Oryctolagus cuniculus: one gene and its partners. The protein of the gene in region 1 interacts with the protein of each later gene in a pairwise test. Links are inferred from orthologs where the notes say so. Each region holds a gene or a part of one and is shown in the gene's direction. Other genes may lie near its edges.

What was found.
Region 2: the proteins of ARHGEF11 (region 1) and PLXNB2 interact in a two-hybrid assay, tested with the Homo sapiens proteins (2 studies listed by BioGRID). The link is inferred for Oryctolagus cuniculus from reciprocal best matches to the Homo sapiens genes ARHGEF11 and PLXNB2.
Region 3: the proteins of ARHGEF11 (region 1) and PLXNB3 interact in a two-hybrid assay, tested with the Homo sapiens proteins (2 studies listed by BioGRID and IntAct). The link is inferred for Oryctolagus cuniculus from reciprocal best matches to the Homo sapiens genes ARHGEF11 and PLXNB3.
Region 4: the proteins of ARHGEF11 (region 1) and PLXNB1 interact in a two-hybrid assay, tested with the Homo sapiens proteins (2 studies listed by BioGRID). The link is inferred for Oryctolagus cuniculus from reciprocal best matches to the Homo sapiens genes ARHGEF11 and PLXNB1.

What each region holds. Positions count from the first base shown.
Region 1 is NC_091438.1:41,862,903-41,866,461, forward strand, and holds part of ARHGEF11 (rho guanine nucleotide exchange factor 11), read left to right. Parts: intron 1-68; coding exon 69-165; intron 166-325; coding exon 326-448; intron 449-3,283; coding exon 3,284-3,307; intron 3,308-3,559. UniProt on the Homo sapiens protein: May play a role in the regulation of RhoA GTPase by guanine nucleotide-binding alpha-12 (GNA12) and alpha-13 (GNA13). Acts as guanine nucleotide exchange factor (GEF) for RhoA GTPase and may act as GTPase-activating protein (GAP) for GNA12 and GNA13.
Region 2 is NC_091442.1:123,247,743-123,251,751, reverse strand, and holds the start of PLXNB2 (plexin-B2), read left to right. Parts: upstream 1-1,176; 5' UTR 1,177-1,322; intron 1,323-2,334; exon of another isoform or gene 2,335-2,635; intron 2,636-4,009.
Region 3 is NC_091453.1:132,124,060-132,128,152, forward strand, and holds the start of PLXNB3 (plexin-B3), read left to right. Parts: upstream 1-1,237; 5' UTR 1,238-1,376; intron 1,377-2,272; exon of another isoform or gene 2,273-2,339; intron 2,340-2,563; 5' UTR 2,564-2,680; intron 2,681-3,723; 5' UTR 3,724-3,732; coding exon 3,733-4,093. UniProt on the Homo sapiens protein: Receptor for SEMA5A that plays a role in axon guidance, invasive growth and cell migration. Stimulates neurite outgrowth and mediates Ca(2+)/Mg(2+)-dependent cell aggregation.
Region 4 is NC_091441.1:100,640,849-100,644,407, forward strand, and holds part of PLXNB1 (plexin-B1), read left to right. Parts: intron 1-77; coding exon 78-183; intron 184-321; coding exon 322-458; intron 459-646; coding exon 647-823; intron 824-956; coding exon 957-1,128; intron 1,129-1,253; coding exon 1,254-1,496; intron 1,497-1,999; coding exon 2,000-2,176; intron 2,177-2,268; coding exon 2,269-2,417; intron 2,418-2,833; coding exon 2,834-2,934; intron 2,935-3,027; coding exon 3,028-3,245; intron 3,246-3,339; coding exon 3,340-3,518; intron 3,519-3,559. UniProt on the Homo sapiens protein: Receptor for SEMA4D. Plays a role in GABAergic synapse development. Mediates SEMA4A- and SEMA4D-dependent inhibitory synapse development. Plays a role in RHOA activation and subsequent changes of the actin cytoskeleton.

The sequences.
Region 1 (3,559 bases):
GGGCAGAAAGCCAGCCTGTCCTCCCTGGGCACCCCGCCCATGTTGCTTTCCCTGGGTTCCCACTACAGACCTGCGCCTGCGCAACAGTGAGGATGTCCGCAGTGCACTCAGTGAGGCCCAGGGGGCTGCCATGCCAGAGATCCAGGAACAGATCCACGACTACAGGTTTGCCAGGGTCCTTGCCCTCCTGCACTACCTCCTAGCACCTCTGCCTCTTGGCCCTTCCCTCGCTCTGTGTGTGTGTATTTATGTTTGCCTCACTCCTGGGTGTGCATCTAAGGAGTGTTTGTACATTTGTTCCTTGCTGTGTATCTCTCTGGCTTAGAACAAAACGCACTCTGGGGCTGGGCAGCCTGTATGGTGAAAATGACCTGCTGGACCTGGATGGGGACCTTCTCCGAGAGCGCCAAGTGGCCGAGAAGCAGCTGGCTGCCCTTGGAGATATTCTGTGAGTCTTTAGATCTCCTCCCACCCCCCACCCTCACCAAATATGCCCAACAGGTTGACAGGTTTTAGGGGTTTCTTTTCCAGCTTCCCTCTAGCTATTCTTGCCTGGTTGTCCTTCCCCTGAAGTGCAGGGCGAGCTGGGTTTCTTAGGCAGAGGGCTGCCCTCGTGCATGGGGGTTGCTGAACCTTGGGGCTCCCTGTTGTAATATGGTGGTCATGACAGGCACTGGGCTCCAGGAATGTGGTGAGCTTTCTGCTTCTCCTTTCTAGCCCTCTTCCTAAACTTCCTCCCTTCCTGCCTCTAAGACCATGTCTGACACAGCGTGAGCCCAGCGCTGCGAGTCTCTGATAGATAAAGCTTCTGCAGAACTTCATTAAGGGAAATGGAATCACTTTTACTAATTATCGCAGAAATCTGAAGTTACCTGATTCAGGAGCTGCTGGCACACCTGCTATGCTCTTTTAGAGACATTTTCTAAATGTCAGGGGTGCCTGTGATATGAGTCCCAACGTGACAGGCTTTGTGGGAACATTTCCAGGCTTAGCAGTTTTTTGCCCCAGTACTGCTTCTCACTAAGTAAACGCATGACCTTGGCCAAGCCATTTTATCTCGCTGGGCCCCACGTACAGAATGATCAGAGTTGGACTGGATGATCTCCATAGCCTCTGGGAATGCTGCTGTTTCAATTTCATGGCTCTCCTGTACCAAATGTGGTTCTGCCTCCGGCATTCCTGGGATGCAGTAGTGAACAAAGCAGCCCTACCTCTCCAGAGCTTACATCGTAATGGGAAGAGCCATTAGTGCTTAACAAAGAAGTAATGGGGTAGTATGTTACAAAGAAGTGCTGGAGGAGAAAGTAGAGCAGGCTGGGGAGGACCAGGAGAACTAGAGCCCGTGGGTTGCGAGTCTAACCTGGACAGTCGGACAAGCCACAGGGCAAGGGAACCTGATAAAGCCAGAGGGGACAGGAGGGGTGGCCGTGCAGAGCCTTGTGGACAACCACACCCACTCTGGGTTTTTCTCTGAGTGAGAGCCACTGGAGCTGTGCGAGACTAGATGGGGCCCAGGACAGGAGAGCTGGGGAAGGCTCTGCCGAGGGTTCTGTAGGACAGCGTGTGGCAGCCAGCCAACCAGACTGGGAGAAATGGTGGAGGCTGTGAAAAGAGGTCCCCTCTAGGTGTATGTTGATGCTAGAGCCACCATGACTGCGGGGAGTGAGGAAAGAGAAGCACCAAGGAAGACCCTCAGGATTTCTCTTTCTGTCTGAGCTACTGAAAGGGCGAAGGTACCAGCAGTCAGAATAGGGACAGTTACAGGGGAGCAGTTTTGAGATAGAAAATGAGGACATGTTAAACAGTACCGGGTAGGCGTTCCATACACAAATCCGGCATTTGAGGAGGTCTGGCCAGGGATGAGATGGATGAGATCACACAGAGCAGGAATGCTTTGCAGACTTGACCGTCTGACCCTCAGCCAAGCCCTGAATCTTTCTGAGCCTTGGTTTCCTAGCAGTCAGATGGCACTAAACCAGCTCAGCCAGCTCCAGGATGGAGGCAGGACTGACCGAGCCTATTTGGACATTAGATGGGTTAGTATATACAGACAGCTTAGCATGATGCCTGGCCCGTGGGGAACACTCAGATGCTGCTGTTTCCATTTATGTCTTCTAAAAAGATTTGTTTGGATCCAGTCTCAAGGTATTGTTGCTTCCTTCTCATCTTCTGTCCTCCTGCCTCAGTGATGCTCCAACCCTTCTTTTTAATTTTTTTTAAGATTTACTTATTTATTTGAAAGGCATAGGGGCCAGCGCTGTGGCCCAGTGGGTTAATGTCCTGGCCTGAAGCACCAGCATCCCATATGGGCACCGGTTCGAGTCCTGGCTGCTCCACTTCCTATCCAGCCCTCTGCTATGGCCTGGGAAAGCAGTAGAAGATGACCCAAGTCCTTGGGCCCCTGCATCCACATGGGAGAACCAGAAGAAGCTCCTGGCTCCTGGCTTCAGCCAATTAGGGAGTGAACCATCGGATAGAAGTCCTCTCCCCCACCACCTCCTCTCCTCTCCTCTCCTCTCCTCCTCTCCTCCTCTCCTCCTCTCCTGTCCTCTGCATAACTCTGATTTTCAAATAAATAAAAAATCTTAAAAAGAAAGGCATAGTGACAGAATAAGAAACTGAGGAAGAAGGAGAGAGAAAGAAAGAGGGACATCTTCCATCCCCTGATTCACTCCACGAATGCCTCCAACAGTAAAGGCTGGGCCAGGCTAAAGCCAGGAGCCATGAACTCCATCCAAGTGTCCTGGGCAGGTGGCAGGGACTCGAGTACTTGAGCCATTATCTGCTGCTTCCCAGGTACATTAGCAGGAATCATTCAAAAGCAGAGTAGTCGGGACTTGAACCAGGCCCTCCAATACAGAATGGAGACTTAACCTACTGCTCCACAATGCCCAGCCCTCACCTCTGCCCTTCTAACTCAGTCCTAGGTGGGTACAAAAAGGAGCCTCTTTCTGTATAACTTCAGACACCAAAAACATAGCAAGCGAGAAGCTTGTGTTTACCACATTGCCCTTCCATTTCACTAGAAAGACATTGTCGTCATCATCATTGTCATCATCATCACTCTGCCATTAGAGTCCCTTGAGGGAAGAACTCTCACCTACTGAGCCCCAAGCTGGCTCTAGAGCTGTGACCAAGAGTCTGGCCTTTCATCATACTCCTCCCTTCTCCCCACCAACCCGCCCTTCCTCTGAGAAAGAGCTTACCCTCCTCCCAGCCTCTGCCCAGGCGACAAGCCTCTGTCTTTGCTGTGTGAGTCATCTGTTCTTTTCTTTTGTTCCAGGTCCAAATACGAGGAAGATAGGAGGTGAGTCCATGATGTGGTTCATTTGCAGCTTTCAAGGTGGGAAGGTGTGGGGCTGATCTGTGCTTTGCATTTTTGCTCATTACAGGGAGCCCCTAGCTTTGTAAGACCACGTAAGAGCCTGGTCTGCAAGTTTCATTCCCTGATGACTGTAATTGTAACACGTGGGGGTCATGAGATGGTCCAGGCCCCTAATGCTCAAGGATCACCACCTGAGGGTGTGAGTGGCTCCTAATACCTGCTTCCTCCTCTCCA
Region 2 (4,009 bases), on another chromosome or scaffold:
TTTGAGTCTGGGATGCTGGCCTCCCCACATCTTTTGGTATTAAAATGGCCTTTTGTGACAATGCTTGTCTTCTAACTTCCTTTTTTGATAAAAACTTGGCAGCCCCGGTGAGACACTGGTAATTTTGGGGTCCCTTGCCGTTGGGGCAGGGTGGCCATGTGTAGACTGTGGTTCAGGACTGGGGAGAAGGTCTGGGCAGGGACAGCGGAGGGCAGAGAGGCCAGAACTGAGTGGCCGGGTCTTATCAGATTTCATCCAGGCTTTGTCTGCCTCTGGGAGTCCTGGATCCAGGATTGGGGGCAGGTCCCCAGGGTCGGGGGGTAGGGGTGGAGGAATTGTACAAAGCTGGGGGGAGGGGCTGCAGGAGCCAGAGGGGACGGGCACCAAGGTGTGGATGCTGTGGGGCATGGCAGGTCCCCAGGAAGAGTGGTTTCCTTCCACCCACCCCTAGCCCCTGGAGGACGGCGCTGGGTCTCCAGCTGCCCAGGAAGGCCCAGATGTGCTGGGCTGGGGGAGCGGGAAGGCAGCAGGTGGAGACATAGGTTGGTTGGTTTTTTTGACACTTATTTATTCATTAATTTGAAAGGCAAAGCGACCGCTTTTCCATCCGTTGGTTCGCTCTCCAGCGGTCGCAAGCAGGGCAGGGCAGGGCAGGGGCAGGCCAAAGCCCGAGGCCGGGACCTCTGCGTGGGGTTAGGGGCCCAAGCACTTGGGGCATCGACCTGGGAGCCGGAGGGGACGCTCAGCAGCAGGGTCTCCAGCCAGGCGCCGACGTGGGGTGCTGGCTGCGCCGCCAGGATGCCCCCAGGTGTCCTCTGCCCTAAGAGGCTGGGGGCAGCTGAAAGGGGCCAGGTCCAGCGGCCCCGAGTGCAGCCAGCCTGCGCCCAATCTGGGGGTGGGTTAGCGCCCGCAGGTGCCCTAGGGACCTTCGTGCGGGCGGGGCCGAAGCGCTGCCCTAGTGCCGAGCCCAGGGGGCGTCCCCGAAGTGGTGCCTAGGCCGGGGGAGACCCTGACAGCGACAGGGCGGGCCCGAGCCCGCGCCCAACCTCCCGGCGAGGCCGCGCGCGAGGGCGCCAGGCCTGGGGGCTCCGGGGCGCGCCGCGAGCTCAGCCGTCGCCGCCCCCTCCCGCCCCTCCCCCGCCGGCCCCCGCCCCTCCCCCGCCGGCCCTCGCCCTCCCCCGTCGGGGGCGGGGCCGGCGGCTCCCGCGCGCTCCGGCCCCTCCTCGGCCACACAAAGGCCCGTCTCCATGGCAGCCGCGCGGGCCGGAGCGCAGCGGCGAACGCGGCCCGGGCGCCATCGAGCCTCGGCGGCCGACGTGCAGGTACGAGCTCGGGGCCGGGGCCTGCGGGGCCGCTTAGCTGGGCTGGGGGCTCCGCCGTCAGCGCCGCCCCGCCTGGCCCGACGCGCTCCGGCGCGCGACCGGGAGGCGGCTGCGGCTCGGCGGAGCGCGGCTGGGGCCTGGGCCGCCGTCTGGGTCCCGCGGCTGCAGCGGCTGCCCCCGCCCCACGCGCCTCCAGGTGGCGGCCGGGGACGCGGTGGCCCGCGTCCCTCGGAGCCGCTCCGGACCGTGTCTGGTTCCGGATCCTCCGCCCCACCCACGCCCCCGCCTCCTCAGGCGCGGAGATCCGCGCCAGAGCGAGGGGGGTCCCGGCCGTGTATGGGCCCCGGGCCCAGCCTCCCGCGCAGCCCTCGCGGACTGCCGACTTCGCCCAGGCTTCCCCGCGGTCCGGCCTTGGCAGGGGTGCGGGAGTGGGAGAGACCCGCACCCAGTGTGTGCGCAGCTCCCAGGCCTGAGCCTGCTTCCCGCGGGGTGTCTCCGGTTCCTGGTGTGGTTCCCGTTGGGTGGGCACCTGGGACCCAGGAAGTCTAAGACCTGGCTGGCGGGTGGGGGTGTGTTCGGTGGTTTGGCCTTGCCCTTCACCGACTGGTGCTGCACCTCCACATGCCTCCTCCTGCAGGAAGCCCTCCTGGATAGACCCTTCCCGCCACCTCTGTCCTCAGGCTGTTCGGCAGAGCTCTGGCTGTGGGGGGGCATCCTGCCTGTCCTGTATGGGAGTCTTTGACCTCAGGAGCCCTGGAGCTTTCCCAGCTCCTTGGATAAGGAAGGAAGGCTGTGTGTGCCTGCCATGACCTGTGGCAGAAGCCAGAAGTGGGGGTGAGGCTGGAAACTCCCTCCTCCAGTCTGGCTTGTGCCCCCCCCACCCCGTGCGGAGGGCTCTCCAGGTGACAGCTCGAGACCCCGAGCCCAGATGCTTCCCTGGGGGCTGGACAGCAGCCCCGCCCCTGCCCGGAGGGGAGGAGGGCGGTCAGCTCGCTGCTATCTCCGTGCTGTGTCAGCTTTTAGTGTCCGGGAGAAGACAGCAGCAAACAGGTGGGCCTGGCTGGCCCGAGCCAGCTCCCACACCTCCGCTCACACCCCCGCCATACCTCCGGACGCCGCCTCCGTCTGAGGTCTGGCCGGGGGCTCCCGGCTGCAGGAGGCCAGGGAAGTTACTGAGTTTGGAATGTGAGGCCCCCCTCCCCCGCCGGCTGCCTGCCAAGATGGAATTATTTTGGATTATCCAGCCGTGTCCAGCCACCCGAGAGGGAAAGGCCGCAGCCTGCAGCCGTGGGAGAAGGATCCATTTCCGGGCGGTGGGTGAGAACCCCTGGAGGGAGACCGGGCGAGTCTGGGCAGCTCCTCCCCTCCTGAGGCTGCTCAGACCGGCTGGGGGTGGGGCAGGAGGCGATGCGTCACCCCTGGATTGGAGAAGGCCCCGGTGTCAGCTCCGGTGGGCCCTGCTCAGCCTTGCAGGGGGCCCAGGCCCCTCCAGGGGAGGCGGTGGGCAGAAGGCGCTCTCAGCCAGGGGAGCCCTGGCTTCGAGAGCCCCTGAGCCTTGCTCCTCTTCTCACCCCGAGTTTGGCAGGGTTGTGGTTAAAGGGAACAGCCTGCCGGGCTGGAGGGCCCCCCCCCCCCCCGTCTTGTCTGCTGGTCGGCAGCTGAGGGACTGAGGCCCTCCCCAGCCCAGCCCTTGTCTGTGGACTGCTGTACTTGCATGTGGTCCCTGTCAACCCGGCCCACAGGTGGGGAGACTGAGGCCACAGCTGGGTCCCTGCTGTGAGCTGCTCCCTGGGGCCGTCCCTGGGTGTGCCTGTGGTTCTGTGCCTAGCAGGCTACGAAGGGACTGCAGTGGGGAGGCAGAGCCGGCAGCTGGGGCCCACGTGCAGGAGGCGGGGGACTTGCCGTGCCCCCTGCCCAGGCAAGTGGAGCAGAAGGGATAGGACTGGATAGGCACTGGGTGGGCTTGCAGCTGCCAGTGTGTCCATATGGCAGAGGCCCCAGGACCTAGACCAACCTGGGGCTTCAGCTGGGCCTGGCCCCGCGGGGGTGCAGAGGATGTTGGAGTGGGCAGGGGGTGCCCTGGTGGGGGGCGGCTGTGCCTTCCCCTCCTCTGAGGGGCGCAGGGCTGTGCGGGCTGCCGGGAGCCCCTCCCACCACAGGCTGGTCTCTGCCCTGGCCCCCTGGCTGCAGGGCTAAGCCTCTCTTTCCTGCTGCTGCCTTGGAAGGGGGCCAGGGAGACGGGGGTGAACTGGTGGGCACTGAAACCCAGGCCTGGCCTCAGAGGGCCCCGGAGCAGCAGCCCCTCGCTCCAGCCTCTGTTCTGTGGGTGCAGGGACAGGGAAGCTGGGCACAGTCTCTCCCCGTGTGGTCACAGCTATTTGTGTGTGGGGTGGGGCCTCTGACTAATTCTGGGCAGAGACGGGCAGGTCAGAACCTGTGATGGAGGGGGTGGGAGGGGCCCCCGGTCCCCTCTTCTTTCCAGGGCATGTGGTTCCTCTGCCTTCTTCCCCTCCGTGGTTTCATATCCCCTGACACAGGCTCCTGCCTCTCCCCACCCCCTCTGCTAACCAGACAGGGACCCTGCTCACAGCTGCCTAGGGCCCCCTGTGCCCCGACTTAGTGGCCTTCCTGGCCCTTCCACCTTATCTTGGTCAGGCACAGATGGAAGGGACCTGCGGGACCCCTGC
Region 3 (4,093 bases), on another chromosome or scaffold:
GACCTTGGGCCCCTGCACCCATGTGGGAGACCCAGATGAAGCTTCAGGTCCCTGGCTTCAGCCTGGCCATTGCAGTCACTTGGAGAATGATCCATTGGATGGAAGTGTCCCCCACCCCACCCCCCCCCAGCCTCTCTAACTCTGACTTTCAAATAAATAAATCAATCTCTTAAAAAAAAGACACACCTACATCTGGGCAACTTTTTTATTCTGTGGTGTTCGAAGGAACTAAACATCTGCTGGGCCTTCAGCCTGTGGGTCCCTCTGCCTCGGCCTCATCCCCAGACCCCTTCAAGTCCTGTTAGTGACCTGTGCCACCTCCAGTGCACAAACACAGCTTCTGGCCTCAACAGCCCAGCGGCCTCATCGGCACCTCTGCCTTACTGTCCTCCACTCCCCACCTGCACGGTCTCCTGGCTTTTCCTGCCTTTGCCTCCTCCCCACCATGCAACCCCCTCTGTGACTGCAGACCTGGGCACCCATATGCCAAGTTTCATGCTTCGAGGCTACCTACCCTGATGGTCTAGTATGGGGGCCTGTCCTGTGGTTAACACATGGTCTTTTAAAAAAATGAATTGTGCACTTTTAAATGGCTGGAACTTGCGGTATATAAATTATTTCTAATTTTTAAAAAATATTTGACTTATTTATTTGAGAGGTAGAGTTAGAGAGAGAGAGAGAGAGAGAGAGGTCTTCCATCTGCTGGTTCACTGCCCCGATGGCTGCAACGGCTGGAGCTGTGCCGATCCAAAGCCAGGAGCCAGGAGCTTCTTCCAGGTCTCCCACACAGGCGCAGGGGCGCAAGCACTTGGGCCATCTTCTACTGCTTTCCCAGGCCATAGCAGAGAGCTGGATTGGAAGAGCAGCAGCCAGGAGTTGAACTGGCGCCCATATGGGAGGGATTCCAGCACCGCGAGCAGAGGCTTAGCTCACTGCACCACAGCACTGGCCGCAACAAGTAGTCTTGCCTCTGACACACTTGTGCTCCAGTTTCCCAACCTGTGAGCCAGGCTTGCTGGGAGGAGTAAATGTGCTAACACTCACACCACGCTGTTTCCGGGTTACTCTAGTGACAGCACCTAGTAGGCACTTCGTGGAAGCTTACAGAATGCCCACATATGGAGGGCGGGGCACCGCCACCCTCGCCTGCGGTCAGTCCTCTGCCATGCCTGCCTCGGCCAGCAGAGGGAAGCAGCGCCCTGCCCTGCAGTGTCGGGCAAAGGGGCGGGCTGGGAGGGGCTGGACCGCCCGGCCGGCCCCGCGGGGATGAGACGGGCTAGACGCGACTGCATTGTGGGGAGGGAGGCTGGGGCTGCTCGGCGACGCAGTCTTGGCGCTGCCAGCTGCTGCTTGGTCCCCGCCGGCAGCCCGCCCAGGTAGGCAGGAGCCGGGGCTGGCGCGGGCACGGGGCGCTGCGACCGCCAGGGCGAGGGGTGCCGCGGCGGGGCGTGCTCGCACTGAGGAGCAGCTGGGCTCAGGCGAGGGCGCACAGGAGCCACCCAGGCGCTAAGCCCTCACCTCCCCACACTGGTGACCTCCCACCAGGGGGTGGCCCTGGCACCAGGAGGTTGGGAACAGGGGCTTCCGACCCCAAATAGGAGCCAGTGCCAGCCCTGGGTAGGGTGCAGAGCAGGGAGGCTGCCGGCCTGGCTCCCCACCCCCACAGCCACCCAACTGGCCCAGCCAGGTGGCAGCAGCCCGCCCTGCCCCTCACCCTGGAGCCTGCTGCCATGCACTGTGGGGGAGGCGGAGACCCCAACCCAACCACACCTGTGCCTGTACCACGGGCCCTGTGGCTCTCCATTCCCTACCGGCAACATGGGTGGTGGGGGTTGGCAGCGGGGGCAGACCCAGCCACGGGTTGGGGTCCGGGTGACTGAGTGTCCTCCACGCCCCTTGTGCAGCATCCTTCACTGGTACCGCCCGCTACCACCACACTGCACCTGGCACGGCTCAGGGCTCTGTGCTCCTTGGCCAGTCTTCCAGCGGGCGGGGGGCGGGGGCGAAGGTCTTCTGGACGAACTGCCTTTGTCAGCACCTCCTCTGCCCTCAGCCAGACAAAGGCTGGCATTGAGGGCCAGGGCTGGCACGGCGACCAGGCACCAAGGCTACCAAGGCTGAGACTGGCCCTGTCCCGGGGACTCTGAGGCCTACCCCTGTGCCCTTCACAGGGACCCAGGGGGCTGGGGGGAGGGGCGCCCACGGCGGGCACAGCGTGATGAGGCCAGATGGGGAGGGCTGACAGCAGGAAACCCTGTCCCTTTGTCCCTAGATCCTAGGGGGTGTCTCCTGGGGGCGTGGTGTGGCAGGGAGCCCCCGTGCGGAGCAGCCGAGTGGGGGTAAGAGCACCAGATAGTGGGTCCCTGGTCTGGGCCTCCGGACAGAGGGGACATTGTTGGGGTGGAGGCAGGGCTGCTTTGGCCCGGCCACTAGTGACAAAGCTGCCAGCTGTGGTGGAGCCCGGTCGGCAGGCCCTTGCCCTCCCCCCCCCCCGCCCAGTCCTCTTCCTCCCCCAGGGCCGGCATGAATGGGGCTGAGCCTTGACTGTCTCCCTCCCACTCAGGACAATGCCCCCCACAGCCATCTTGCGCCTGTCCCCACTGCCCTCGGGCAGCTGAGCTGAGGAGCTGGAGCAGGCCACCCGCCCTGGGCTAGCCCTCTGCTGGAGCCCTTCCTGCCGGTAAGTGCCTGGGTCCCGTGTCCCCCAAAGATGTCCCTAGGAGGGAAGGGCCCCAGCAGACACTGCCACCAACTTCCTGTCTGTGCTCCCGAGATAAGGGGCTTGGGGCGCTGCCCTGGGCCTGGGTGGCACATGCCCACACGGCCAGGCGTGTGCACACTGGCTCAGCTTAGGATCTGGGCCTCAGGCTACTGTCCCCTTTCCAGGGGCTCTGCCCGCAGTGAGGTGGTGGCCGCAGCAGGAGAGGCTGGATCCCCTCCCCCTCACTCCCCACCGCACGCTCTGACCTCCGCGCAGCACCCTCCCCAGGTCTCCCCCACCCCTGCCCTGACCACCCCCATTCCCTGCCACCTCCGGACCCGTGCGCCAGTGTCTCAGCCAGCAGCTCCCAGCTGCCTCAGTTTCCCCCCACGCTCCCTCTTGCAGCTGTCCGGGGCGGGTTTTCTCTGCCTGGCCCTCGTGTTGTGCGTGTCCCCACTTACTGCATGGGCCTCCCGGCTCGTCTGTGAGGACATGGTTCCCCCACTCTGTGCCGCCCCACATCCTACTCCCACGCCGGGGCTGGGCGTCCCGGCTTCATTGCATCCCTGCCTCCTCACGCCACGGTGGCTCAGCTCTGCAGCCCGGGCCCTCTGTCACTCACGGTGCCTGCGTTCCTGCATGCGTGGCTTTGCAGGATCTGCCCTCTCTCCCACAATCCAGACGCCTGTCAAGTTGAGATGAAAGAATCCCTTCCTCCCCGGCTCGGCTCGCAGCACGGGGTGCGCCCTCCCCCACTCTCTTTGTCCTTCCTCAGTACCGCCTCTACCTCTGCCTCTCTCTCTCTCTCCCCCTCTGTCTCTCAGCCTCCCCACCCCCTCCCTCTCTCTCCCCGGGAGTCCCTGGCCCCCCTGTCCACCCGCCTGCCCCTGTCTCAGCCCTGCTTTCGGCCCCCTCTGTCCTGGCCCATTGCCCAGACTCGTGCCTTTGGGGAGTGTCATTGTGCCCCCTGGGAGCCGGTGGCTCCCTCCCAATGGGCCCCAGGCTGCCTGGCTCTCTCCTAGGCGCCTGTGATGGCTCCCTGGCCTCCGTTTGGCCTTGGCCTCCTGCTGCTGCTGCTTCTACTGCTGCTGCTGTCCCCAGAGCCACTGCCTTTGACTGGAGCTCACCGCTTCTCGGCCCCCAACACCACCTTCAACCACCTGGCGCTGGCCCCGGGCCGCGGTACACTCTACGTGGGCGCCGTGAACCACCTCTTCCAGCTGAGCCCTGAGCTGCAGCTCGAGGCGGTGGCTGTCACCGGGCCCGTCGCTGACAGTCCCGACTGCCTGCCGTTCCGGGACCCAGCCGAGTGCCCGCAGGCCCAGCTCACTGACAACGCCAACCAGCTGCTGGTGGTGAGCAGCCGGGCCCAGGAGCTGCTGGCCTGCGGGC
Region 4 (3,559 bases), on another chromosome or scaffold:
CAGGGGCAGGGGCTGCTGGGTCCGTCTGGGGAGCCCGCAGTGCAGCCCAGCACCCCCAGCCTGCCCTGTGCCTGCAGCCTCGTGTGCGTCACTGGGGCCAGTGGGGAGGAGGTGACCGGCCCAGCCACAGTGGAGGTGCAGGGAAGAGGACGCGGTGTCTCCGACGTTGCCTTTGCCTACCAGGTGCTGACTGCTGAGCCCCGCCCTCGGCCTGCGGCTTTCCCCTTCCTGGGGCTCCGCCCAGGGCCATGTCTGTCTTGGGCTCCCTGCCTCTGTTCCAGGCCTGATGGTGGCTATCTCTTGCTATTCTCCCTCCCCTAGGACCCGCAGGTGCGTTCCATCTTCCCCACCCATGGGCCCAGAGCCGGGGGCACCCGCCTCACCCTGCGCGGCTCCAACCTTCTGACCGGGCGGCTGGAGGACATCCAAGTGGTGGTTGGAGAGCAGCCGTGTCACCTGTGAGGACCGTTTTCTCTTGTGGAAGTCCATGCACCCCAGGGAGACAATGGGGTGGGAGGAAGTGGGGGAGGCAGCAGAGGGAGGGGTGCGGTGGGAGAGCAGCCTTTAGGGCCGGCAGGGTGCGGTGGGGAGGAACGCCGTGAGTGCTGAGGGGGCTGGGCCTGCCTCCCTCTCCTCTCCTCTGCAGGCTGCTGGAGCAGCAGTCGGAGCAGCTGCAGTGCGAGACCAGCCCACACCCGGTGCCTGCCACTCTCTCCGTGGCGGTGTGGTTTGGGGCCACAGAGCGGAAGCTTCAACAAGGCCAGTTCAAGTACACGTCGGATCCCAATGTCACCTCTGCTGGCCCTACCAAGAGCTTCCTCAGGTGCTGGGCAAGGGTGTGGCTGCACGGAGCTGGGAACCCTGTGCCACAGATGGGCTCGTGCCATGGGGCTGGGGCTAGGCTGAGCTTGGATCTTGGTCACAGGAGCCACAGTGGCTCACACGCTGTGTTTCAGTGGCGGCCGTGAGATCTGGGTCCGTGGCCAGAACCTGGATGTGGTGCAGACGCCAAGAATCCGAGTCACAGTGGCCCCCGGAGCGCTGCGGCCCAGCCCCGGGCAGGGACGGCGGCGCCGTGTGGTCTCCGAGACGCCATGTGCCCCTGGAGCTTCCTGTGGCGGTCATCGCGTACGGCGCCCCGGGCCTCCCCTGCCTGCCCTGGGGCCCCCACTCCGCGCCCCGAGGACAGCCGAGGGGCGTGCATCCCGCCTTTCCTCACCCCCCCACCTACCTCCTTGTCTTCCTCCTGCCAGTTCGAGGAGCCCTGCAGCGTGAACTCCTCCCAGCTCATCGTGTGCCGCACACCCGCCCTCCCGGGCCTGCCCGAGGACCGCCGGGTCCGGGTGGAGTTCATTCTTGACAACCTGGTGTTCGATTTTGCAACACTGAACCCCTCGCCCTTCTCCTACGAGGCCGACCCCACCCTGCGGCCCCTCAACCCCGAGGATCCCACCGCACCCTTCCGGCACAAGCCCGGGAGTGTGTTCTCCGTGGAGGTACTGCGGATCTCCCCACCTCCACCCCCGCTGTTGGACAACTCTGCTGCGCAGCAGAGAGGCTGTGACCGTGGAGTTCGAGGCCGGGGCGGCCGCGGCTCCTCATCCCTGCTGTGGCCGGGGCAGAAGGGGCCAGTGTGAAGGTGCCCGGCCTGGCACGGGCGGGGCTCTGACCCTGACCCCGGCAGGTGTCTGAGTGGCAGTATGTCTGGCTTGGTGTGCGTGGTAGCTGTGCCGTGGCTGGGCTGGTTCTCCTCTGGCAGCCCGGCTCACACAGATGCAAGGGCACCTGTTATGCACATGAGGTTGGCAGTAGGTGGGCACTGAGGCCACAGCTGGTTACTCTACCAGTAGATGCAGTGGGAACTCAGGTTGTGTTGGGAGCCTGGGCAGCGTGGGAGGGCATCTCGGGCTGTTGGCTCCGCGTGCAGAGTGGTACTGAGGGACCAGGGGCTGGGATCTGGGTTCGGCATGACTGATCTGTGACCCCATCTATATGCCAGGGGGAGAATCTGGACCTTGCGATATCCAAGGAGGAGGTGGTGGCCATGATAGGGGACGGCCCCTGCGTGGTGAAGACCTTGACCCGGTACCACCTGTACTGCGAGCCCCCCGTGGAGCAGCCCCTGCCACGGCACCTCGCCCTCCGAGAGGCGCCCGATGCGTTGCCCGAGTTCACAGTCAGTGGGCAGGTCCCGGGCTGGGCTGCGCTGGGCTGCGCTGGGCGTCGGGCGTGTGCTGGATCCCTGTTGACCGGTGCCTCCGTATCCAGGTGCAGATGGGGAACCTGCGCTTCTCCTTGGGCCACGTGCAGTATGACGGCGAGAGCCCCGTGGCGTTCCCTGTGGCAGCCCAAGTGGGCTTAGGAGTGGGCACCTCACTTCTGGCCCTGGGCGTCATCATCATCGTCCTTATGTACAGGTGGGTGTGGCCAGGTGTGTCTGGCCGAGGGAGAACAGACCAGGGGAGTGGGCCAGGGGCTAATTTTTTTGGCTTGGTGGGCCTGGTGGTCTCTGTGGCAACTACTCAAATCTGCCACCTGGCATGAGAGCGGCCACGGACAGGGTGGAACCACCCGGGTGGCTACGATCTGTAGTTACAGAAGTAGGCTGTGGGCGGGCTTGGGCCTGGGTGCCATAGTGATCACACCGGGCTCCACTGTGCCAGGTCCCACAGGGCATGGGAGGCAGTGACTTGACGGGGATGGGACAGGCTAAATTGTTTTGGGCTAGCTGGGCTGGGCTGGCCTGGGGGAGGCCAGGGTGTGCCTGGGCCAAGTGGGACCCAGCAGGGCTTCAGGCCCCTCCGGCCATCCCCGCCGACCTCGGTGTGAGCAGGAGGAAGAGCAAGCAGGCCCTGAGGGACTATAAGAAAGTCCAGATCCAGCTGGAGAACCTGGAGAGCAGCGTGCGTGACCGCTGCAAGAAGGAGTTCACCGGTGAGGCTGTGGGCGCAGCCCCTCGCCCCCACCCCAGCCCCGCCCCAGCTGCTCCCGGCGCATGCGCCAAACCCAGCCCCTGCTGCTCCACAGACCTCATGACCGAGATGACGGATCTCACGAGCGACCTCCTGGGCAGCGGCATCCCCTTCCTGGACTACAGGGTCTACGCCGAGAGGGTCTTCTTCCCCGGCCACCGGGAGTCGCCCTTGCACCGGGACCTGGGCGTGCCCGAGAGCAGGCGGCCCACGGTGGAGCAAGGGCTGGGGCAGCTTTCCAACCTGCTCAACAGCAAGCTCTTCCTCACCAAGGTGCCTCCCCCTCCTCCTCCTCCTCCCTGGCCCGGCCCTGGCCTTGGCCTTGGCTTCCCACTGTTCCTGAAGCCGGCGCTCTCTCCGGCTGCAGTTCATCCACACGCTGGAGAGCCAGCGCACCTTCTCGGCCCGGGACCGCGCCTACGTGGCCTCCCTGCTCACCGTGGCGCTGCACGGCAAGCTCGAGTACTTCACCGACATCCTGCGCACCCTGCTCAGCGACCTGGTGGCCCAGTATGTGGCCAAGAACCCGAAGCTGATGTTGCGCAGGTCCGTGGCTTGCGGGGGGGGGGGGGGGGGCGTTGGGCGGG